Caenorhabditis elegans: one gene and its partners. The protein of the gene in region 1 purifies or fractionates together with the protein of each later gene. This does not show direct contact. Each region holds a gene or a part of one and is shown on either strand. Other genes may lie near its edges. The genes, in order: C43E11.9, Y48A6B.3, F10E7.5 and snu-13.

The links.
Region 2: the proteins of C43E11.9 (region 1) and Y48A6B.3 fractionate together in Caenorhabditis elegans (co-fractionation; one large-scale study listed by BioGRID). This does not show direct contact.
Region 3: the proteins of C43E11.9 (region 1) and F10E7.5 fractionate together in Caenorhabditis elegans (co-fractionation; one large-scale study listed by BioGRID). This does not show direct contact.
Region 4: the proteins of C43E11.9 (region 1) and snu-13 fractionate together in Caenorhabditis elegans (co-fractionation; one large-scale study listed by BioGRID). This does not show direct contact.

Annotation. Positions count from the first base shown.
Region 1 is NC_003279.8:4,265,531-4,271,696, forward strand, and holds C43E11.9 (60S ribosome subunit biogenesis protein NIP7 homolog), read right to left. Parts: upstream 2,438-6,166; coding exon 2,315-2,437; intron 2,266-2,314; coding exon 1,964-2,265; intron 1,918-1,963; coding exon 1,800-1,917; 3' UTR 1,669-1,799; downstream 1-1,668. Other genes in the region: mus-81 (Crossover junction endonuclease MUS81), read left to right, coding at 1-308, 876-1,196, 1,252-1,644; cdc-6 (Cell division control protein), read right to left, coding at 2,737-3,240, 3,538-4,272, 4,320-4,499, 4,570-4,635, 4,686-4,757; acin-1 (SAP domain-containing protein), read left to right, coding at 5,205-5,339, 5,391-5,531, 5,580-5,644, 5,691-5,822, 5,869-5,961, 6,012-6,073, 6,124-6,166.
Region 2 is NC_003281.10:11,004,312-11,010,409, reverse strand, and holds Y48A6B.3 (Putative H/ACA ribonucleoprotein complex subunit 2-like protein), read right to left. Parts: upstream 2,189-6,098; 5' UTR 2,180-2,188; coding exon 2,066-2,179; intron 2,016-2,065; coding exon 1,856-2,015; intron 1,811-1,855; coding exon 1,593-1,810; 3' UTR 1,481-1,592; downstream 1-1,480. Other genes in the region: exos-1 (Exosome complex component CSL4 homolog), read right to left, coding at 1-228, 891-993, 1,041-1,159, 1,216-1,359; fipr-17 (FIP (Fungus-Induced Protein) Related), read left to right, coding at 2,808-2,951. UniProt on the Caenorhabditis elegans protein: Required for ribosome biogenesis. Part of a complex which catalyzes pseudouridylation of rRNA. This involves the isomerization of uridine such that the ribose is subsequently attached to C5, instead of the normal N1.
Region 3 is NC_003280.10:7,108,872-7,115,051, reverse strand, and holds F10E7.5 (Ribosome assembly factor mrt4), read right to left. Parts: upstream 3,072-6,180; 5' UTR 3,061-3,071; coding exon 3,033-3,060; intron 2,985-3,032; coding exon 2,926-2,984; intron 2,879-2,925; coding exon 2,801-2,878; intron 2,752-2,800; coding exon 2,573-2,751; intron 2,526-2,572; coding exon 2,207-2,525; 3' UTR 2,070-2,206; downstream 1-2,069. Other genes in the region: cutl-5 (ZP domain-containing protein), read left to right, coding at 1-278, 327-394, 446-562, 613-761, 1,077-1,258; F10E7.6 (uncharacterized protein), read right to left, coding at 1,460-1,813, 1,861-1,968; F10E7.9 (Amino acid permease/ SLC12A domain-containing protein), read left to right, coding at 5,042-5,151.
Region 4 is NC_003280.10:10,655,618-10,661,359, reverse strand, and holds snu-13 (Small nuclear ribonucleoprotein associated homolog 13), read left to right. Parts: upstream 1-2,733; 5' UTR 2,734-2,745; coding exon 2,746-2,901; intron 2,902-2,981; coding exon 2,982-3,212; 3' UTR 3,213-3,333; downstream 3,334-5,742. Other genes in the region: marc-2 (RING-CH-type domain-containing protein), read left to right, coding at 401-499, 543-982, 1,032-1,113; rsp-7 (putative splicing factor, arginine/serine-rich 7), read right to left, coding at 156-289, 1,152-1,328, 1,645-1,763, 1,812-1,962, 2,031-2,150; lact-3 (Beta-lactamase-related domain-containing protein), read left to right, coding at 3,692-3,846, 4,051-4,174, 4,941-5,337. UniProt on the Caenorhabditis elegans protein: Binds to the 5'-stem-loop of U4 snRNA and may play a role in the late stage of spliceosome assembly. The protein undergoes a conformational change upon RNA-binding.

The DNA of each region.
Region 1 (6,166 bases):
TCTTAACAAATCGAAAATCAACAACAGAACGGATGAAGGATGCGAAAAGATTGGAAAAACAGAAATCAACGAAAACCATTGTTGATATAGAAAATGAATTCGAATCGGATGGAGATGATGACAAGCAACCAAGTGTTCCACTCACTAAAACGAAAAGCTTTCAAGTTTCGAAGCCCGTCCAGCCGAGCTTGATACGATCACAAAGTGGAAATCTTTCGTCTTCTTCGTCTACTTCCTCATCATCATCTAATTCATCAGATCCATTATCTTTCAGACTTCTCACTTGTCGACCTTTTGAGCAGCCAACTGTTAGTATTTAAATCTAATTTTTGCAGAAAAGGATTCCAGAATAGAAAAAAATCGGCAAGTAATAGAAAATCCAATGGAAAATTAAAAAAAAAAGATTTTTGAACTCCCTCCGAAATGAGAACTGTCCGACCAATCAGCGAATAGCTCCGCCCCAGCAATCAGATGGAGTGGGCGGAGTTGGAAGACGCTTATTGGTTGGCTCGCGAGATTTTGCGGTTTTTGCATACGGTACCCGATCTCGAAGCGACTAATATTCAGGAGTACTGTAGCTCCCAACTCCTAATAAGTTGCAGAAACTTCTGCCATTTTTCATAAGTTTTCGTCCGTTCCTTCGAAATTTATCGAAAAAGATTTTGAAACTTGAACATTTTTGAGCTCGAAAAAAAAACATTTAACAATATTTTTTAAAAACGATTAACAAAAATATGCAAAAATCGTTGCAGTGCAAAAAGTGAAATACCAACAAAAAACCAAATTTTCATCAAAAACCCAATGTTTTGGTGTCGAAAAAATGGTCAGCTATTTACTCCACCTTCAAATTAAAAAAAAACGAGGTATTTTTCCAGGTCTATCTAATCGCAGACAATCGTGAGCATCGCAACAATCCACGTTTCAAGTCGGTAATCGAGCATCTCGTGAAAAAAGAAGATATTCGAGTTGATATTCGTTCTCTTTCCGTTGGAGATTACATATGGATTTGTCGAAAGATTGATGGAACTGAGATTGTGATGGATTGGGTTGTAGAACGGAAAACTTGGGATGATCTGCAATCAAGTATTCGTGGAGGTAGATATGATGAGCAGAAAGGACGATTGAATATGGCTCCGATGAAGAATCGAGTTTATTTGATTGAAGCTCAACATAAAGGAGATGTTGCTTGCGAACAGGTAGAATATAGAATTAGAATCTGATGATTTTTCAAAATTCTAACAAAAATTCCAGGCCGTAGCATCAACTCTTTCCAATGGAGGATATCTTATTCAAAGATGCTCTGATACTCGAGACACAGCTGCATTTCTCAAGGAAGTGACGATTCGTTTGCAGAACAAAGCGGCCATAGAAGAAATTTCGGGTGTTCCATTCAGCCAACTCCAGAATCTTCTCCAGAAAAAGAAGGCGGAAACTGTGAAAGAAGCTTGGGTCCGACAGCTGATGGTTTGCCCGGGAATGTCTCAGAATCGAGCCGAAGCAATTGCCGATCGATTTCCATCCATGGTATCCCTGCTTTCATATTTTCGTGCAAATGGAGACGATGCACCGATTCGACTTCTTCAGCTTTTACCTCAACTAACTAGGCCTATTACTCGTAACCTTTTCAAATTTTTTGTTCAATAAGTGAATCCTGAATGAATCAGAATTAGATTGAATTTTTTATAATTGAATGAAAAATTTTGAAAGGAAGACCAACAAAAACAACATCAACAAGAGAATAACAATGAAAAATGAAAAATTGTGGAATTTAAAATTTTTGAATGGAGACCAAAATCCGATTAAGCGAGATGACTCTCATTTCTGAGATACTCTCCAAGATCGCATTGATGTAGAACGACGAGAGCAGTTGGATCGGCACGCTTACTGTCTGATGTTCCTTTCGCTGACACTCCGAATCTAGAGAAATATATTTAATTAACTTGAATATTAAATGTGAACATACCCCAATGGAACATCGGTCATCGAGTATACGACGATTCCAGCATGAGTTGGAGTTCCGTCGGTCATTCTTGCGATTCCAGACTTGAGAATGTTGTTTCCGTAAAGGAATTGCTGCTCGGCGTTCGGCTTCAGCCACACCTTGAACTTGGCATACGGCGCCAAATAGTCGAGAGCGGTGATTTGGAGATGGAACTTTTTGCTTTTGGTGAACTTTCCCAAGCAAGTTCCAAAAGAGAGAAGTGGCTCACGGGCAATGCAGGCGGCTTGACGCATCAGATTTTCCGAACAGTAATAGACACGTTCCTGAAGAACAAATCGAGTTTTTATTGGATAAAGAACAATTAATTAATACCTTGTGATTTCTGAAGCAATAATCTCCATCATTTCTGTCGATGAGCATCGAGACATTGTCTCCGATGAACGAGGCCAACTTGGCAAATACAAGCGATGTCTCTTCTTCTGTCAGTGGACGCATCTGAATAATTAAGAAATGGGTAGAATAATTATAGACATAATAAAATAAAGATAAAAAATTTTGGAATATAAAACCAAAATTCAGAGCAAAAAGTTTTGTAATAAATATGGAGAACGTTTATAAATTACACAGAACGTGTACCCGAAGGTAAAGGGACAGGTATTCAGAAGAGAGAACGCGTTGAAAGGAAGTGAGAGGAATGATAAAGTTTACAGGGAAATGCCAAAGTAAGAAATTCAAAACTTTTTCAATATTTCAATAAATAGAAGTGGATATAAATTATGTTACAGGAGATGCGATTAAAATTGAAGGAGTCCAATTTGATCAAGCATCGCGTTGTCACTGATAGCCGATTTTGCCGTCGGAGCATCAACTTGAAGAACTAGCTTTCCGCCGTTTAACTGACGGACGAAGGATTGAGATTCGAGAGTCTGGAACGCTGAATGAAGTTCATCGTCATCAAGAGCGGGCATTCGAAGAGCCTCGCAAGCTTTATAATAGGCACGGAGCAGGGAATTCCGATCGAATGTGCATTTCTTGTTGGCAGAAAGTGTTAAAGAGACAGCTAGAAGAATTCGAGGTTGAAGTGGAAGACGAGCACGAGCCAATGGAGACGAATAGACATTGTTGATGATTCCAAGAACTTCACGACATCCATTAACTGGGGTACCAGGAACTTTTGAATCATCAGGAATCATACGACTTTTTTGTTGTTTGAAGATGTGGAGTGCGGTACGAAGATCTCCGCTCATTGCAGCCACTTTACGAGCGGTTAACTCGATTGCCTTTGCGTCAATTGAAGTCTGAAATTATAAAATGTAAAATACTAAATGAACTTAGGAGCACCGGTTCTCTGAGTTTTTCGCTTGGAAAGAATCAAAATGTGCGCAAACGAAAGAATTTCATAATGAGACTGCTGAAAAGTTCTTAGAAAATGGGCGAAATTGGTGATTTTATTTAAAAATAGCTTTTTTCTTCGAAATTTTTTAGCCACCATAATTGTTTTTTTGAAAATTCTCACTACAAAATTAGTTTTTTTTGGTACATTTTGAGTCTATACAAGCCGAAAACCGATACTCATCCTTTAAATTTAAACTTACCTCCTCGTTTTTCATTTTATCATTCAAAATTTCTACGATGTCATCTTTCGTATACGGTTCAAAAACGAGTCTTTTCGGTGGCTTCGCGAGCATCAATTTTGGAAGAAGTCGTTCTGTCAAATCAATCGAATTTGCAATTCCAAGAATGATAATTTTTCGAGACAACGTCTCTGGCCATTGAAAAGCTGCGTAGAGTGCAGCGTTCTTTCGATTCGCGAGATGATCAATCTCATCGAGAACCAGTACCAGAGGAGTTTTGAATTGCTTCACGTGCTTCTCAAAAATTTCTTCATTCGGCTTTCCGTCCAAATCCAAAGATTCGAAAATCGTTTTGAATAGTGCTGATTTGGTATTTGTTGAAGCGCAATTTACAATACAACTTCGAACTGATTTTCCCAATGATTTAAGAACTCTCATTGTGGTCGCAGTTTTTCCAGTTCCAGGTTGTCCACTGACATAAATAGACAACGAAGTATTCGTTTCTTTACTTTTCATAATCCATAATTTCAGTGAATCAAATTCTTCACGTCTTCCTTTCAAAGCCCCTTCGGAAGATGTTGAAATAATTTCTTCGCTGTCAGATTCCGATGAGCTCTCTTTTCGCGACTTTTTCTCTGGTGTTCCCTGAGATCCAGATCGTGACCTCGACTGTTTTTCCGGAGTACGTGGAGTTGTCAATTGGCTCTTCAAGTTTGTAGCTTTTCGTGGTCTACCTCTGGCTCGTGGGCTTGAAATCTAAAAAATTTAACATTTCAGTTATTCCACATTCCTAGTGCTCTAACTTCAAGTTTCTCGACACGATCTGCTAGCGATGATCCGGGACTCAGAAGCAATTTTCGTTTTTCTTCAGATGCCATCTTTGTTTGGGGCAACAATTCATCTTCGGAACTTGATTCAACTTCTTCGTGAAACACTCGTTCGCTTACCGGCACACGCTTCGTTGTTTTTGACGAGGGAGTCTTCTGGAATAATTGAAGATGTGTTAATTTTTAATCGAATTCTTTCGATATCGAAGCACAATAAAAAACAAACCTTTTTCTCAATTGGTACAGACTGTGTTGATAATCTTGAACTTTTTCGCCGGGTTAGAGAAGGTTTCTAAAGAAAAGTGAAATGACAGCTTAAATTTGAATTTCAAAAATATGTACCTCTGTTTCTTCAGATTCTTCAAAATCACGTGCCCTCTGAGATTTGCGAGTAGATCCGGATTTACTACTCATCTGAAATCATTCGCAATTATCAAGCTTACAACGTAAAGAATTGGGAATTTAAAGCAAAACCCTGCAAAATCGATAAAAACTGAAATTTCTGCTCAAAGCTTTTGAATATTTATGTTTACGTTCGGCTATATGTTAAATTTTAAAACAAAATAAAATTGGAGAACGCCAAAGAAATTAATTACATATCTGGAAAATAAAATAAATTACGAAAAATAGGAGAATCGGTGCGATTTATTTTATTTCTCGCATTAGAGCGCACTTTCCTCAATAATTTTGACGCCAGCGACTATTGCTGACGCCTTTCCCTTTGCGCATTTTTATTTTCGAATTTTAAAACACAATATTTATTTTTTTTCTTTAATTTCCACCATCTTTGAAAAAAAAAAACGTATTTTTTCTCCTAATTGCAGGTTTCGAAACCTAGCTTATCAGAAAAATCGATACAGTATGGCGGACGAGGATATTTTAGTGGACGGACGTCCGTTGTCTTCACTCAAAGTGACAGAACTGAAAGAAGAGCTCGAAAACCGCCAACTATCCACGAAAGGGGTGAAAGCTGTGCTGCAGGAAAGGCTTAGAGAGGTACTTGCCAAATTAGAAATAAAAATGAAAATTCCAAACTAATGCTTACAGGCTCTCGCAGCACAAGGAGACGATCCGGTGGTTGATGAGCAGAATCCGATAGTTGCTGGATATTTGGCAAGGCAATCGGCGGCACTGGCGGAAGCTCGGAAGAGAACAGAAAGTGAAGCATCGGGAACGACCACTCCACAGGTAATTCCATTTTGAGGTTATACTAACAATAAAATATCGTTTTCTCAGAGTGAGGTATCGCCGTCGAAGCAATCAGAGGCCTCGCCAAGGAAGGGAAGAACTCCACGGAAAGAGTATTGACAGTGACGTTTTGAAATTCAATGATTATTCTAATTTCAGAAAGAAGGATGTGGAACCAGAAGCGGAGCCTGAGCCTGAAGCAGATATCGCCCCAGAGCCAGAGAAAGTAGCTATTGTGGAGAAACCAGAACCGAAACCAGAACCTATCACGGAAACAGAAGCATCTCCATCGTTAGTTTAAAAATTTCAGTATCTGAATAATGTTTTATTCGTTCAGAAAAGCTTCCGAGAAAGATGCCGCAGTTGAGGTATCTGTTGAAAAAGTGGATGCTGAGACAGCTCAGGAATCCGATTCTCCACAAGAAGCAGAGTTAGTACACTACTGGTTTTTAAAAATTAAACTAAGTTTGATGTTTTCAGAAAAGAAAAGACCGAGCCGCAAGTGGAGCTGGAGAATGGTGGTCAGGAGGAGGACGAGCCAGGTTTTTTAAAAATTAATTATTTTATAGAAAACCTAATTTTGAAATTTCAGATCGCGATGAATCGATAGAGAAGCAACCAGAGAAGGAGGATGA
Region 2 (6,098 bases), on another chromosome or scaffold:
TTGCGGAACTTTGGCCATTTTCCTGGGTTCCGTTTTGCCGGTTCGTGTCGAGACCACCGTATTCCAGTCGACTTTTTGCATTGGTTCACCAAATCGTCCACGGCACAGCACAACGCCTAGCTCGTCTTCGGCGATCGATAAAACGAATTTGTCCTTGATTTCGGCGTCTTCACAAACTTTTGCCAGAATGTAGTCGTTGGGTCGCACAAAGTTTTTGAATGGCTCACTCTGCAAAAAATGCTCTTTATTTCAATTTTTTGCCTCTAAAGCAGTATCGCACAGAAAAAGAGGCGGAGCGTAATTTCGCAACCCTCCGGCACGGTTTTTCCACCTTTTTGCCAGTTTTCTACTGCATTTTTTATTGATTTTTTAAAATTTCACTTCTTAGTTAGTAAAATCTAAACTTCATTGAAAAAAATCAACAAAAATCAGTGTAAAACATGCGAAAAAGGAAGGAAACCCCGTGCCGCAGGGTTGCGAATTTAAGCTCCGCCTCTTTTTCTGTGCGATACACTACTTGGGTTCTCAGTTTGGGTCTCGCCACGATTTCGGCCCATATCTAATGTTTAAAAAAAAATTTTGCTCGAAAATCGCTTTAAAATAAGAAAAAAGAGGGAAATTTGTTTTTTGAGTAAAAAACCGAGAATTTCAGTTGAAATTTAGTGAAAATCAGTCTAAAATCAATGTTTTTCCGATGTTTCCACAAGAAATCAGGAATTTTGACGACTTTTCTGCAAAAAACCTTAAAATCGGCCATTTTTATGCGAAATTTCATAAGAATTTTCGCAAAAAAACCTAATTTTCTGCTAAAAAAAAGGTTTTTCCCACATTTGTAAGCAGAAATTCTTAATTTTTTCGTGGCGAGACCCACAATCCAGGCAAAATCCAACCAATTCAGGTTCCAGCGGCCTCAGCTTCTTTTTCGGCAGCAGCGCCGAGAACCGCTTCTTGTAAACCTTATCGCCGATACTGATGATGTCACATTTGGCGAATCTGCAATATTTTCTGTCGGTTTTCAGAGCAACGAAAAGCTGCTCTACCGTAATCCGACAGCCATCACTTTGGCGGTGACGATGGCTCCGTGGAATGGGAGAAGCTCATTGTCGAGCTGATCTTCGCTGCGGCGAACTTCGATCACTTGCACCAGGTTGTCGGATTTCTGCAGAAAAAACGGAAATTTTCGGGCTCCACGCTTGCGATTTGTGCGAAAATTACATCTCTGAATCCATAAACGTTGACAAAACCGGCTACCGACGCGAAGATCCTTCGATTCGCCTCGTATAATCCCTTCCCCATTCGATATTCACCAATCGCGTCGAGAACCTTGTCGCCGGGCGCCACAAGCGTTTCGGCGAGCATTTTCTGAGCTGAAAGTGGTTTAGAACGGGATTTGCTGTGATTTAGATTGATTTCGAGTAACAAAATTGAGTTTTGGAAATTACCGAGAAAGGATTAAAGAATAAAAAGAAAAAGTCTGTAGATAACAACAATTTAATGAGTGAACAATTGTGGATAAAGATGGTGATACAGATCAAGAAATTTTAAAAAATCAACAACAAAAAAAAAACAGTGAAAACCAGAGAAAAAACAATTTAGGCGGCCTCGACGGTGAGATGACGGAGAGCCTCGGCGACCTCGTCGTACAGCTCCTTGAAGTCCCCACTCGGCTTGACGAAGATCAGAATCGACGGGCGACGATGTCCGACGGCGAGTCCGAGCTGCTCACGAGATGGAATGTAGACGTATGGGATCTCCTTCTCCTCGCAGATTCCCGGAATATGTGAGTACACATCGATTGGAGAGACGTTTCCTGAAAAATTGAACGTTTTAAGGGAAAAATAGATTAAAATCCTACCAGCAAGAATGCAGATTCCCTTCTCGTTTCTGCGGAGCTCCTTCTGCACGTCCTTGATGCCCTCACGGAGGGTTTTATCGCCGGCGGAGGCCTTCTTGATGAGCTTGTACACCTTCTTGGCCAACTTGCGGTTTGCTAGTGGCTGAGCGATTGGGTTTACCTGAAAATAAGACATTTTTCATTAAAAAACCAGCGAAATTAATGATTTACCAGCTCGCAAAGTGCCTGGTACTCGTCCTTCTCGGTGGTTGGTGCGGTGGCGTCTCCATTGGCTTCTGATACGGTCGACTCGTTCATTGTCTCGTCCAGATTGCGCTTGCCCATTTTTTGATTCTGAAAATTCATAAGTTAATCGTGTAAATTAGCCGCAAAGTTCAATTAGCTTTAGGAAAAGAAAAACAATGAAAATGGGATTTTTGCAACAAAAAATCGATAAAAATCCTATTATGGGTGATTACATAGGAATTTTACGATATTTCATGGCTTAAAATTGATAAATATTATATTTCCGAATTTTAAAATTTAATTTTATCGAAAAAAATCGGAGAAAACCCGCAGAAAACTTCGAAAAATACAATAATTATGTGAAAATGCGTCAAAAGAGAAAAAAGAGAAATCGAATCGAAATGTGCAGTGGAGCGCGTTCGCCCACATCCCAGAGAGTGGAGACGCAGACAATTCGTTGGCGGGAATTCAAATTAGAGATTTTCAGGGAAATTCGTTTTGTTGAATTTTCAACTGTTCCTGACTCCGATTTTTGCAAGTTTTGCAGCCTCTCCGCTTCCCCGAAACGCTCAAACTTCAATTTTTACGAGTTATCATCAAAATCGCAACTAAAATATAACAATTTTATGTCCCCGAACCCCCCACCCGCCCCCTACACGGTACTATAAAAGCCAACTTCTTCCAGAATTCAAGCATCAGAAGCATCTTCTTCTTCTTCATCATCATCATGAACGTCTACTCTGTCTGCGTCTTCGCCATCTTGGCTATTTCTTCAGTTTCTGGAATCTTCTTGCCACAAGGAGGAAAGAAGTGCGGAGGAAGCAGTGGATACGGAAGCGGAGTCATCATCGGTGCACCACGTCCACAATAATTTTTGTGCAGTTTCTGTTGATTACTGATAAATATTGAACATTCAAACTCTGTTTTTTGGGCTTATAATCTTGTTAATCGCGCCGCAGGCCTTTCAGTTTTTAGGGCTTAGGCTTAGGCTTAGACTGAGGCTTAGGCCTAGGCTAATTCCTAGGCTTAGGCTTAGATGGAAAATCTATGACCTAATAAAATGGGACTTTGAAGTAGAAAGTTTGAAAAAAAAAAATCCCAAATTGGAGTTAATCTACGGGACTCTAAAGAAGTGCGAGACAAAATTAAAAAATTTCAAATTTATTTTTCTAGTCCAAAATGCTCCTACATATTGAGCAGTTTTCTGTTAGGTAGTTGAGGCTAGGTAGGCAGGCACGGTTTCAGGGCCTCACGAGAGGCAGGCGGAGGCCGCCTTAAGGTCAGGCAGGCAGGCGTTTTGGAACCCCTAACATTAACAATTCGACTTGCGTTGTATGATTTGAGTGTATTTGCAAACTTATATTTTCCGTGCAAATGATCACAAGGTTTTTAAGCATCGAAGCATACATCTTTGATGCTCCCGCTCCCGGAACTAACTTTATCGATGTGGGTGGAATAAAAGCCTTCCGATCACAAACCTTTTCCTCACTTCGGTTCTTCAAATGAACATTTATTGCGTTTTAGTGTTTGCTGTACTCTCCATCTTGTCGGTTGTTGGAAAACCTCGAGCTAACCATATTCGACCTGCCTCAGACCGACATATCATCATGGGATTCGACCTACCATCCAAGTTTGGATAATTCAAACTGAAGCAATTAATTTATGAATAAAAGTTGAACATTGTCTTGAAAATCTTGTTATGAAATTTGGGATAATCTGGTAATTTAGAACCATATGATTTTCCAGCACTTTTGAATTTTTGAAAAATACAGCTTTTATATATTTCTATCAATTTTTTAAAATACTTGCGGACAAGCTAGTATACTTTTTTTGGTATTTTCTGGTATATTTGGCAATGCTAAACAGTTTTATAAAATAAAAAAGAAGCGCTTCATATGATTTTATAGTACTTTTGAATTTTTGAAAAATACAGCATTTACATTGACATACCAAAAAATAGATTGACATACCAAAAAATAGATTGACATACCAAAAAATAGATTGACATACCAAAAAATAGATTGGCATACCAAAAAATAGATTGGCATACCAAAAAATAGATTGGCATACCAAAAAATAGATTGACATACCAAAAAATAGATTGGCATACCAAAAAATAGATTGGCATACCAAAAAATAGATTGACATACCAAAAAATAGATTGACATACCAAAAAATAGATTGGCATACCAAAAAATAGATTGACATACCAAAAAATAGATTGGCATACCAAAAAATAGATTGACATACCAAAAAATAGATTGACATACTAAAAAATAGATTGACATACCAAAAAATAGATTGACATACCAAAAAATAGATTGACATACCAAAAAATAGATTGACATACCAAAAAATAGATTGACATACCAAAAAATAGATTGACATACCAAAAAATAGATTGACATACTAAAAAATAGATTGACATACCAAAAAATAGATTGACATACCAAAAAATAGATTGACATACTAAAAAATAGATTGACATACCAAAAAATAGATTGACATACCAAAAAATAGATTGACATACTAAAAAATAGATTGACATACCAAAAAATAGATTGACATACCAAAAAATAGATTGACATACCAAAAAATAGATTGACATACCAAAAAATAGATTGACATACCAAAAAATAGATTGACATACTAAAAAATAGATTGACATACCAAAAAATAGATTGACATACCAAAAAATAGATTGACATACCAAAAAATAGATTGACATACCAAAAAATAGATTGACATACCAAAAAATAGATTGACATACCAAAAAATAGATTGACATACTAAAAAATAGATTGACATACCAAAAAATAGATTGACATACCAAAAAATAGATTGACATACTAAAAAATAGATTGACATACCAAAAAATAGATTGACATACTAAAAAATAGATTGACATACCAAAAAATAGATTGACATACCAAAAAATAGATTGACATACCAAAAAATAGATTGACATACCAAAAAATAGATTGACATACCAAAAAATAGATTGACATACTAAAAAATAGATTGACATACCAAAAAATAGATTGACATACCAAAAAATAGACTGACATACCAAAAAATAGATTGACATACCAAAAAATAGATTGACATACCAAAAAATAGATTGACATACCAAAAAATAGACTGACATACCAAAAAATAGATTGACATACCAAAAAATAGACTGACATACCAAAAAATAGATTGACATACCAAAAAATAGATTGGCATACCAAAAAATAGACTGACATACCAAAAAATAGATTGACATACCAAAAAATAGATTGACATACCAAAAAATAGATTGACATACCAAAAAATAGACTGACATACCAAAAAATAGATTGACATACCAAAAAATAGATTGACATACCAAAAAATAGACTGACATACCAAAAAATAGATTGACATACCAAAAAATAGATTGGCATACCAAAAAATAGACTGACATACCAAAAAATAGATTGACATACCAAAAAATAGATTGACATACCAAAAAATAGATTGACATACCAAAAAATAGACTGACATACCAAAAAATAGATTGACATACCAAAAAATAGACTGACATACCAAAAAATAGATTGACATACCAAAAAATAGATTGACATACCAAAAAATAGATTGGCATACCAAAAAATAGATTGGCATACCAAAAAAGTAGATTGGCATACATATATATTTTTATCAATTTTTTAAAAAATTCTTCCGTACAATCTAGCATACTTTCTTTGGTATTTTCTGGTAGAAATTCATAGGCGCGACAAATTTCAAAATTTGCCGAGCTACACATCCCTGCTCTAGACATTCCCTGTGTTTTTTGGCAATCGGTTTTCATGTGTATAATTTCACAAAACCTCCAAGTTTCTTCCATGAATAATGAAACAAATCCATGGATTTCTACATTTTCCAAAAGTTTACACGCCAAAAATCGGGATGCCCATTCTTCATTTCTTCTCTTTTGAATGGGACTTCCAGGTAGGCGAAAGCCCTGAACCGCGCCTGCCTACTATGAAAGCCG
Region 3 (6,180 bases), on another chromosome or scaffold:
GAGACAGTGTATTCCATGTTTGGAGTTGTGATGGAAATCATAACGGGATTCTAGTACAGAATTGCCATGTGGAAGATGGACAGGGAAATAAGATTCTTATTATTGATCAAAATGGATGTGGAATTGATCATTATGTTATGGATACTCCAATATATAATGGAGAACAATCGATTGCATTTCAAGAAACTCATGTGTTCAAATTTGCTCAAAGAACAGTAACACGTTTTATCTGTCAAATCAAGATTTGTATGAAAGGGGATGACTGTAAACGATTATCGGTAAGTAAACTAAACCTTTATACCTCATTGCTGCTTATTTCCTTTTAGCCACCTGAAGCATGTCCGTCTTTAGAAGAACGATTCAACGAAGATCCAGACAAAGGAAAAGTATTTGCGTGAGAAACTGATTCAAATTGCTGGTTTATTACACATCTGAAAAATTTCAGAGATGAGATCCATCCTCCAGCTTCAATGCCTTCTGATTTGACTGGCCCTAATGGAGATACTTCAGTTGAATTTGTTCGTAGAGCACCAGCCAAGGGAAGCATTTACTATGGCGTTGGGTACAACTTTTTCTGAAATTGATTTTTTTTTCAAATCATTAGTGTTATAGTTATAATCCAAAACGACATCGACGTGAGATTCTGATCAACACTGCTCCACGTTCACCAAAACAATTTGTAATGAAAAATGGATATCCAGAAATGGAAATGGTCGGAGAATTAAGAGTTTTCGAGAATCCACAAGATGTTGAGTATTACGGTGAGATTCGACAACTATTAATACTCAGACGCGAATTTTTGAGCCAAAGGTTTTAATAAAACGGGCGTGCGCCTTCAAAGAGTACTGTAATTTCAAATTATCATTGCTGTTGCGGAATTTTCATTGGTTTTTTAAATCATTTTTCGATAAAAACATATTGTGAAATTACAGTACTCTTCAAAAGACGCACGCCTGTTTTCTTTTAAAAAAACATTTGTCGCGTCGATACCAGGTACTGTAGTATAGACCCAAAATTCGCAAATTTCGCGCCTGAGAAATGCGTAAAAATGCTAAGTACTTCAATTTTTTATTCAGAATCCCAACGATCCTCCGCTTCAGCTACATCGTCTGTCTGCGAATCACAATCTTCTACATTGTTCTTCTGTCTTCTTGTTACTGCTCTCGTTGTACTCTCGATCCTGCTCATCTCGCTTTTCTTGCTAGTTTCCTCTCGAATTCGTTCCGGCAAAAACAATTCAATGCATTTCGCACAATGATTCTCCATCTCATACACTGAGATCCGACCTAGTCGTGTTGTCTTTTTATATTTATTGCATTCGGTATAAAATTTATTCAGTTCAAAATTTTCAAATAAACACGAATTTGATACAACAAGGCCATTGACCAGACCCGTTTCCTCAAATAAAATATTAAAAACTAGAAGCTAAAATGGACCTAGTCGAACAGAGGAAATTAACTTATGATTGTTGATTTCTTCTAGCCAGTTGATTTGTCTTCTGCTCGAATTGAATTCGCAAGGCTTCTTCCTTAACATCCACATACTCCAATTGTGCTCGTAGAAGCGCTGTATCCATTCCCTTCTCTTGAGCTTGCTTAATTTGTTCTCGAAGCATTTTTCTCTCCAAATTGGAGGTCAAAATGTGTGGTGGAGCGCTCCATATTTCGTCCAAATCTGATGGTTCTCTGAGCCAACCGAAATAGATTACAATTGCTATAAGACTTCCGATAGCTGATAGCACTTTTTTGTTGGCATACGCGTCTGATGAGTAGTAATCTGGCTTGAATTGTGGCATTCCTCGAGATCCACGACCCTGAAAGACATCTACTAAAATAATTATTTATGCTTCGAGGTAATTACTTGAAATGCGGCACTTTGTGTAAACTTCGGTTCAGGTGCGTTTCTCTTGGTTGCCAATCCTCTGGCTTGAGCTAATATTGAGGAACGAGATAACAAAACCCTCCACATGTTCCTGAACAATCAGCTTTCTCGTTGGTTTATAATCATCATTGGATATTTAATAAGTTTGGGATTTAACCTCCTTCTATATTTATCAATATTAATACTCTGAAACAAGTAACAATTTATTGGATAAACAAAAAAACAAGATGATAAACGACAATTTTCGGATGGAGTGGGTGTTTTCAAATCAAGGAGAATCAGAATCAAATCAACAAATTAACAATAAAAGGATGATTAGCAGAAGTTAAGCATCAAGCTCTTTGAAGCCGTCTTTCTTGTTCCAGTGAGCTTTGAAGATAAGACGGAATTGAGACATCTTCACTTCGAAGTGCTTCAAGATTTTAGCCTGCTCCACAGTCAGCGGTTCGCCTTCTTTGCACACCTCAAACTGTTGGTAGAGGGTGATAACTCCTTTGTCAAGTTTCGTTGGGAGACCAAGTTTTCGCAGTTGTGGCTCCATAGAGAAGGCAAATTGTGAAATTGGTCCTTCTGGTAGAACAACTGTCTCTGTGGCAACATCTCCTACACGAGCGTAATCTTCTTCTGAAGCTTCGGAGAATTCACTGAAGATAAAATGCTATTAGAGAAGCAATGGTTACTCAAAACTTACGCCTCAACTTCCTTTTTGGACATGTTGGTGAACATGAGACCGCATTGACCCTTCAGAATTGCACTGGCTTTGTGAAGCTGATTTGCGTACTCATCAGACTTCTGTTTTCCAAGAGCGATAGAAATGACATTGTTCTTTCCGAAGAAAAATCTTGAATTCTCCTTGTACTTTTGTCTGATCTGTAATTCAAAAGTAATCAAATTTTAATTCAATCTGATTTTAACTAACGGCAATGAATCGTGTGCTTCTCATGTTAGCAATCGTGAAAATGAAAAGGTTTTTGTACTGATCGACACTTGCACGGACCTGGAAAAAAATAATTATTTAGTCAGCACTTCACTCTTAAATTTTACCTCATTAACCAAATTGTTCTTTGTGTCCTTAGTCTTCTTCTTGACTTTTGTGAGTGACACTGAAATATAAAAAGTTTGCCTATAATTTAATTTTACAACAAAATTACCATTTTTATCTCTGCGGGAACGAGCCATTGTGTAGAGTACTGCTGAAAATTACAATTTAATTGCAATTTAAACTATAAAAAGCTGAAAAGTAGCAGTAACAACATAGGAAAAGTTGAAGAAATGAAGAAACAAGAAAAAAAAACAGAGAAAATGATTGTGTGCAACTGCGCGTAGTGGTGTTTGCGTACCTTTGCACACCGTAACCAAAACTAATATTCAAGTTCATTTAAAGAAGTCTCAATAGCGGAGAAGATACAAAAATTGGTTGACATTGTCAGATGCTATGATTTCTTTAAAATAGGTTTAATGAGAATGTAGTAGCGGTAACCTTAAAATAAGTTTCATCTTTTTATGGTTTCAAACGAAAAAATATCAGAAGGGGATATGTAGAATTATAGATCCAACACGAAACAACACGAAACAAAACTTTCCGAGTTCCCTATGTGAAATAATACATGCTTTCTGTATCAGTTCTTTGAGATGGAATATCCACGTTGAAGTTTCAGACAGTTTAGACTGAAAATCTAGATCAGTTTCAAGTTTCAGAAAAAAAATTGGAAGATGGTAGGTCCCTTCTATATCTGAATATTCCCATAAGATTCATCTGCATCCCAATTAGCCCAATCAAGTATCGTCAGATGAGAAGCTTCTTCTTCTCTTACTTCATCTCCTTTTCTCGTTTCCCTCACTTCTCTCAATTCACGTCGTCGCGCATACATGCTCTTCGAGCAAGAGCCATGAGCTCTCCAAATCAATAATGCCGTCTCCTCTCCATGTCGCTTTTAAATTCCACTTCTCTTTTTTTCTCTTCTTTTTCATTTCGAAATTGAAACCGAATTTCAGAGGAAATGTCGAATAAAAGATTGAGGAGGATGTAGAGACGCAGAGTCATTTTCTCGTTTTGTTGTGAGCACTGCATTTTTCTTTCTTTTTTTTTTTGGTTCATCCATGCATTCTCTCTATTTTCCAGACTCTTAAATTTGCGTTTGAACGATGAAAAACAACAGGTTACCATAAATTCATTCGATTGCCAAAACTCAATTGTTAGATAAATTCGACTAGACATAGTGCTCCATTTGAATTAAAGCGTATCATCTTTAATACATAAAATCTCAAAATGTAATTTATTCAGTTTCTTCAGTTTCCGGAAATTCCCAATTCCATATCTCAATCATCATGACTCGAATAAAAGATGGAGCACGCTTCATTGAATATTTGAAATTTTTGAAACAAAATCTTGAATTCTAAATTTTCGTTATTTAGCAGAGCTGTTTGCAAATAGTTGCAGTTGAACAAAACTACGGTTTCGTGTCTTGGCACGTGGAACTTTCCAGCTACAGTACCCGCGCGTACTCCGCTGTTCTACCTCGGATACCTCTAGTTTTAAAATATTTTTGTTGCAAATATCGTTAAAGATTCACTATTGGAACTAATTCAAATATGAAAAAGGATAATGCAATGTGAAAGATTGAAGGACTATCCTACTTGCGGGTACGGTAGCTAAAAAGTTGCACTCGTGCCAGGACCCGAAACCATGAAAACTTGAAGTTTTCCGGAAACAAGTAATTAGGTTTTTAGAAAATCAATGAATGACCAGTTCCTAGTAGGATTCTACACAAGATTGATTTGAAAGATATAAACGAAAACCACAAAACTATTCCGTTTAGAAAAAGAACACAGTATTTAGTAATTTAAATATGTATAGTGGTTTAATGGATGTTCATCAACGGTGAGCGTTATATGTTAAATTGAAAATGATTCTGTAAAATTTCTTGAAATTCAATTCTCAATAATAATAATAATAATAATGTATTTTCATAGTTCAGGCTCAAAAAAGATAGATCATATGCAACCAAAATAGTCTTACGAAAAATCGTATCAAATTCTAAAATGTCTAACTTGGTTCTATTTATTGACTTTTACTGATAAATCCTTCAGAACATAATTTCCAAACATTTTCAGGCAACCATCATCGCCGTCTCATTTGGGTTCAGATCCATCTTCCAGAATGAGTGAGACGGGTCCGTCGTCATCACATTCTGTGGTTGTTGAACCACCTGATTCCATCTTTTCGCAAGGAGAAACTGCCGATTCGTCGCAATTACCATGGTGGCAAAGGTACAAGATCATGAGAATTTAGATTGTAACACCTTGGTTGGTCTTTTGAAAAAGTGGGAACCGAGTTTAAATAAAATGTAACATCTAAATTATTTCTTTGTAATTCAAAACCTTCAAAAAATAGGCGGGGTGTCGTAGTAAAGACAACACAGATATAGTAGATTCGCAAAGTTTCAAAATATCGGCACGAGCTCAGTTACCGTGATCGCTATAGCTCCCAAATTTCACAGATTTCTTAACTTGATGTAGAAAATAAAGTTAATGAAATTTCGAATTGTTACGTGCACAGAAAAAACCGCAATTTACATTTCTTCAAACTGACTATATAGTCTCATTCATCATATTTTTCTGTTTCCCTTTAAAAAAGAGTAGCTCTTGAAAATTGAACGCCCAACCGAAAGACACTTTCTATTACTGCTCCTTCTCTCTGGACTTAACACATTCATTATCCACTGGATGGAATGAAGTAATGAAATCTCTTTTTTCTTTTTTTTTCTCTCAATTCCATTCTCAGTTTTTGTTTTCCCCCATTCGGAACCCTTCTGTCTCCAGAGAGCTACTATGCATTTTTATTATAACTGAATTTATTTCTGACTGAAAACAGGAAATAATGCAGAGACTTCCAGCAGATTTGAGTAAATCGTAGGTTTTTGATTTCCCGGAGGAGAACTTGATTATTTTAAATACCGTATTCCCATCTAGTTTTTTCTTGGAAAATTTTCTGTGAAAATTCTGGCAAATTACCAATTCCTTGAAAAGTTCTGTCTGTAAGAAATTTAGAGCAATATCACTCTTCGACTAGGTTGAAATCTAGATAAGATATTTATAGATTTTTTTCTTTAATAGTTGAACAATGTTTTATATACTCAACAAAAATCGAGATATTATCTGACAAAAAAGTGAACAGAAACCTAAAAATGGGGTTAAAAATGTTAAATAAAATTAAAGTTGGAGTATGGCCAGTTACGATTGTGTCTTAATATACTTATCCAAAAAGACAGAAAATTGTAAAAAACGATTTAAAATTTT
Region 4 (5,742 bases), on another chromosome or scaffold:
AAAAATTAAAAAACAGACAACCATAAAAGAAAAACGGCGGAAAATTAGCCAAAATTGTGTCAAAATATTTTTTTTTGTTTTTCTTTTATGGTTTTTTTTTCTGAATTTGAGAAAATCACCATTAACCTTTAAAAAAATTAAAACTTTAAACTCACTTCAATGGTCTCTCCTTAAACTCGAATCCATCGTTTTGAAGTGCATTGCACACTGACGCTTGCTGTGAGAATTCAACATAAGCATATGCACACGGCAATGCATCCGGTCCCGAGGCCATTCTGGCGTACATTACCTGAAACGTGAAAATATATTTAATTTTGTTAAATACAAATGTTGTATTTTTTTCAAATTTCTAATTCATTTCTAAATTGTCGGTTGCAAACTTTCTACTCGTTTTGAAATTATGTGCACAATAATCGAGAGAAACTTAGAAACTATTCGGTCACCGAAGGAAGTTTCTACAAAAACCGTAATCTGCAGAATATGTTTCGATAACGATACGGTAATTTTTCTTTTCAATTTCTAATTTAGCAATATATTTCTAGAGTTCCGACAGTCTGATCAAGCCATGCTCTTGTAGCGGAACAGTCGCCTACGTTCACAATGGATGCTTGGAGCAATGGGTCCGTACAACATCAAACATTCAATGTACCATATGTCAGGATATGTTTGAGTTGATTCCGGCAGGATTGAAAGATTGGAACAAAATTACTCTGCCGAGACCACTTTCGGAACAGCTCGAAGACTATATGGAATTCGGATGTACTCTTGCGTGGGTGGTGTATATGCTGAGATTCGCATATGTCGGACTTCGTTATGGAAGCCGTTCGATGATCGAGAATGTCGATATGGCTATTGGAACAGGAATGATGCGCAGCTTTTGGTGGATGACATTTTGGTTCAATTTTCTTTACTATGGAGCAATGTGCTTTGTTTTCTTCGAGAAATGGCTTATTGATAATACAATTTTTAAGTTCAAGGATAGGTAATTTTCTATGTTTCTGATAACTTGATTTCTAACTGATATTTTCTAGATCTGGAAGCCCGTCAAGCCAAATTTCAATTGCAAGTCGATCTAGCAAGAGAGGAATGAAAATGCCAATAAATGCACATTGATAGAAATAAATCTTTCAAAAATATCGTTTTTAACCTACCTCTCCAAAATACATGTTGAACAGTTCGAGAACCTCGTTTCCATCAACACCTTTCGGAAGATTTCCAACGTAGACTGTTCTTCGAATTTCTTCGACTTTGGCAGAATCCGTGTCAGCCGGTAGAGGTGGATAAGCCGGTAGTCCGAGCTGCTCCAGTGTCGGATCGACTGTAATCAACTGAAAAATGGAATAATTAGACGGCGCGAAAACTAGAAATATTGCAATTTCTAAAATATCAGGAATTTGAAAATTTCTAAATTTAATTGCTTTCATATCCGACGATGCGCAGCATAGATTGGCGAGGATACACTGAAACTGAAAATTTAATCATTCGGCGAGTACTAACAAAGTTTTTTGATGATTTTCTGGATTACGCTTTCGGGATTTTACTGCATTCGTCATTTGGGTAGTGGCCAGTAGAACTGTAAAATGAACAAGTAACGTCCGTTACCACCAGACGCTAGTTGGAAAACTAGTGGGAAAATAAACTTACCAAAGCAGATCCATCGTCAGATTCTTGAATTTTATTGGTGACGTGAGGTGGGAGCTGTCGCTGACCAGCCGTTGTAGATCCACCACTGTTGAAAAAACTCTCCTCGTCCGGAATCACAGCTGAAAAAATGAAACTTTATGAAAAAATGCAGCTTTCAAAAAACTCACGATTCGGATATGGTAGGCAGACTATCGCGCAATCGATGACGACTGTGTTGGTGAGATGCTGAGCTACTTCGACACATCGCTCGTCGTCGAACTTGATAAAAGCAGTTTTCAGGAGAGTATTAGCTGTGATATTACCTTCTGATGGATAGACCTGAAAGAATAAATTTTTAATTGAAATTTTTAATCGAAAAATGTGTAAATTTGGAATAATAAACCAACCTTCAAATCCTGAATTTTTCCGAGATAGTTGAACATGTTGTAGATGTGATCCCTGGTAGCCGATGTCGAAATGTTGGCGACATGGAGAATTTTTACTTTTTCTTTCTCCTCCCCCGACATTCCTGAAAATAAAATAATCAATTTTCGTCTTGAAAAATAGAAAAACAAAATGTAGTTCAATAAATTTAAACCGGCGACGTAATTTCAAAATTAACATGTAAAAATCTATCGAAAAGGCATAAACTATTAGAAAAAGTTAGATTTTTATCGAAATTTCGTTTAAAATCGATAAAAATCAGATAAAACATGTAAAATTCAGGTTAAATCGAAAATAAATGCAGCCAAATTCGAATAAAAAAGAATCACTGCATGTTTGGCAGCGTGCCAACATCTTGTCGCTGCGAGACCCGTCCACTGTCTGCGTCTCTTTTTGGGCCCTTTTCGAAAATTACAAGTAGTTTTTTTCTCTTTTCTTTTGTTTCTCCCGTTGCCCGTTGTATTTTTCTTCGGAAATTAAATAAGTTGGTACAATAAATTAAAAATAAATGGAATTTTGATTATCTATTACTTTCAGATATGTTACTAGTGCAAATCATCGTAAAAATTTGAATTTACAGCTTTGAAATCGTTTTTATTATTTTTTCTCTTGAATCGATAAATAATTCTTTCGCATTGTAGCAATTTTCAACCATCTTTATTTCAGAAAAGAAGAAAAATGGCCGATGATGGAGTCAATCCGAAGGCCTTCCCACTGGCCGATACCAACTTGTCTCAAAAGCTCATGGATCTCGTCCAGCAAGCGATGAACTACAAACAGCTCAAGAAGGGAGCCAACGAGGCCACCAAGACTCTCAACAGAGGAATCTCTGAGGTAAGTGTATCGTAACCATGTTGAATTGCATTCCCATTTTCAAAATCAATTTTCGAACCAAATTAATTGAATTGTTTCAGATCATCGTCATGGCCGCCGATGCCGAGCCACTGGAGATTCTCCTCCATCTTCCACTTCTCTGCGAAGACAAGAACGTTCCATACGTCTTTGTTCGCAGCAAGGCTGCCCTCGGACGCGCTTGTGGAGTCACTCGTCCAGTGATCGCTGCTTCAATCACTCAAAACGAAGGATCTCAGCTCAAATCTCAAATTCAGAAGATCAAGGAGGACGTTGAGAAGCTTCTCATCTAAATCCTTCTTTTATCAATTTGTTGTTACGTTACCTCATTGTTGTTATATGATAATCCATTCATTGTTTTGTTGTCCCAAATTGCAAATACATCGTTTTTGAAAAAGAATGAACGTTTCTGCGAAACATGGACATCTGATTGTTATCAAATTGCATAATCGGCTACACTGTTCTAAAGTGTATCTTGGACACACAAGTACTTCATTGGCGTATGATGATGCGAGTAAATAAACCTCCCGGAACCGGTTGCATTCTAATTCGACCCCCGTTTGCCCTAGAATGTGTCTCTTCCTAACCATTGGCTTGCTAATTCCACCCCAAACGCCGTCACAACCCGATAGGGCCGCCAAAAAAAAGGCAATCGCTGATAACTACAGGGAGTCGCTTCCTCCGGGAGAAAAGACGGTTTCTGGCAAGGCAAGCACCGCCCATCTCCGTGTGCTCTGTCTCTCCATTCCCGCCGCTCCGTGTTCCCACCAACATGCAACAGTTTTCTCTACTCTTCAAACTATTTCTAGCCACAGTTTTATTATCTGTAACTTATCGCTTTGTATGTGATCGGTTATATTCAAATCACAAATCCGATGTTAGTGGATTTGTCGATGAACGTTTCGAGAAAGTTCGAGAGGTTTTTAAGTAAGTTCGACCTTCCTGCTCTCTTTTTTTCTCATTTTTCTACCCGTGTGAAGTGACAAATGTGTTTGACTGAACTGAAATTAATATTTACTTTGCCGGCATGCGTACAGGCAAATAATCTTTTTCTATCGTCATCTTTATTTTATTTTAAAAAAAAGAAAAGGAAAATGTCTTGCAAAAATCCTGGAACTTGTATTTTTACAGAAAGAATTTCGAAAATGGATGGGAAATCGAAGGATCAGCATTCGCTGTATTTGTTGATGGAAAGAAAGTCGTCGATTTATGGGGTGGATATGCTGATAAGCAGGCGGCAAGGAAGTGGGCTGAGGTAGATTTTTGAAAACAAAAAAAATAAAATCAAGCATTTTTCAATTTCAAACTTTTTTACTATAAATCTTGGGTTTTTTGCACCAAAAATACGGTTCCCCAGGTTTTTTTTCGATTAAAAAATAATTTTCCTCGAGATTTGGTTTTTTTTCCAATAAGTAAATTTGTTTTTATCGAAAAACTACGAAAAATCGATAAGAAAAATTCCGCTGCAATATAAGTTCAAAATTACAGTACTGTTTAAAGGTGCACACAAAAATACGGTTCCATAGGTTTAACCACGACACATTTATAATAAATGCGAAAAGACGTGCGCCTTTAAAGAATACTGTAACTTTTAACATCTGTTGTTGCGGAGTTTTTATCGATTTATCGTAGTTTTCTCATTATTTTCGTAAGCTTTTTTTGTTTCCATAATGTATTAAGTAATTAAAAAAATCATGAAACTTGTCGTGTCGAGACAGTATTTTTGACTCAAAATTTCGCACCTGAATTTCCAAACTTTAACCCAATCTAATACTTTGCCCTTATTTGGAATAATTTATCGTCGGTTTCCCTCATAGCTTCGACATATATTTTTCCACTGTCGTCAGATTGATATGAACTGATAATAATATCAATTTGATACGGGGAGTTTTTCGGTTCAAAACGGTTTTTGAAGTCTATAAAATTGAATGGAATGGCACAAAAACAGAGAAAACATTTTTGAAAAAAGTTGTGACATATCAGCAAAACACAAAAATTTTTAAAAAAATTGATTGTTTCAGGACACAATAACAGTGACGTTCTCGACTACAAAAGCTGCCGCGTCATTAGCAGTTGCACTGCTCTACGAGCAAGGAAAATTGAGATATGATGACCCAGTATCCAAGTATTGGCCAGGATTTGGAACTCATGGAAGAGATAATGTTACTATAAATATGGCACTTTCTCATATGTCTGGAATGGCATGGTTTGACACTCCAATCACTGAAGAAATCGCCGCGGATCATGAAAAAATGCGGCAAATTATTGAAGAAGAAGAGCCAAAATGGGCTCCTGGAACAAAGACTGGTTATCATGCATACACTTTTGGATGGCTAGTTGATCAAATTGTTAGACATACGGATGATCAAAAACGTGGAATTGGACAGTTTTTTAGAGAAGAAATTGCAACGAAATTGGGTAAGTAGTTTTCTATAACCTAGGTGCAAAAATGTGGCGGTTTTTTTTTTCGATTTTTATTAATCGAAAAACTAAAAAGTCCAGATTTCTCTCTTTTTTTCTACTCGAAAAATGGAAATTTTCGATTTTTCGTCTTTTTTAACCGAAAAACGAAGATATTCGATTTCTACTTTTTTTTAATTGAAAAACTATAAATAAGTAGTTCCCTATTACACATTCGTGCCGAAAAACTGAAAATTAGCAATTTTGTTTTAATAAAAAATTGCGTTCGCCTTTAAAGAGTACTGTAATTTCAAACTTTTGTGGCTGCGGAATTTTCATGAATTTTTCACAGTTTTCTCAGGATTAGTGAAATAAAAATTTTTTCTTCGATCTCTAGCTTTTGTAATCGAAAAACGAGAAATT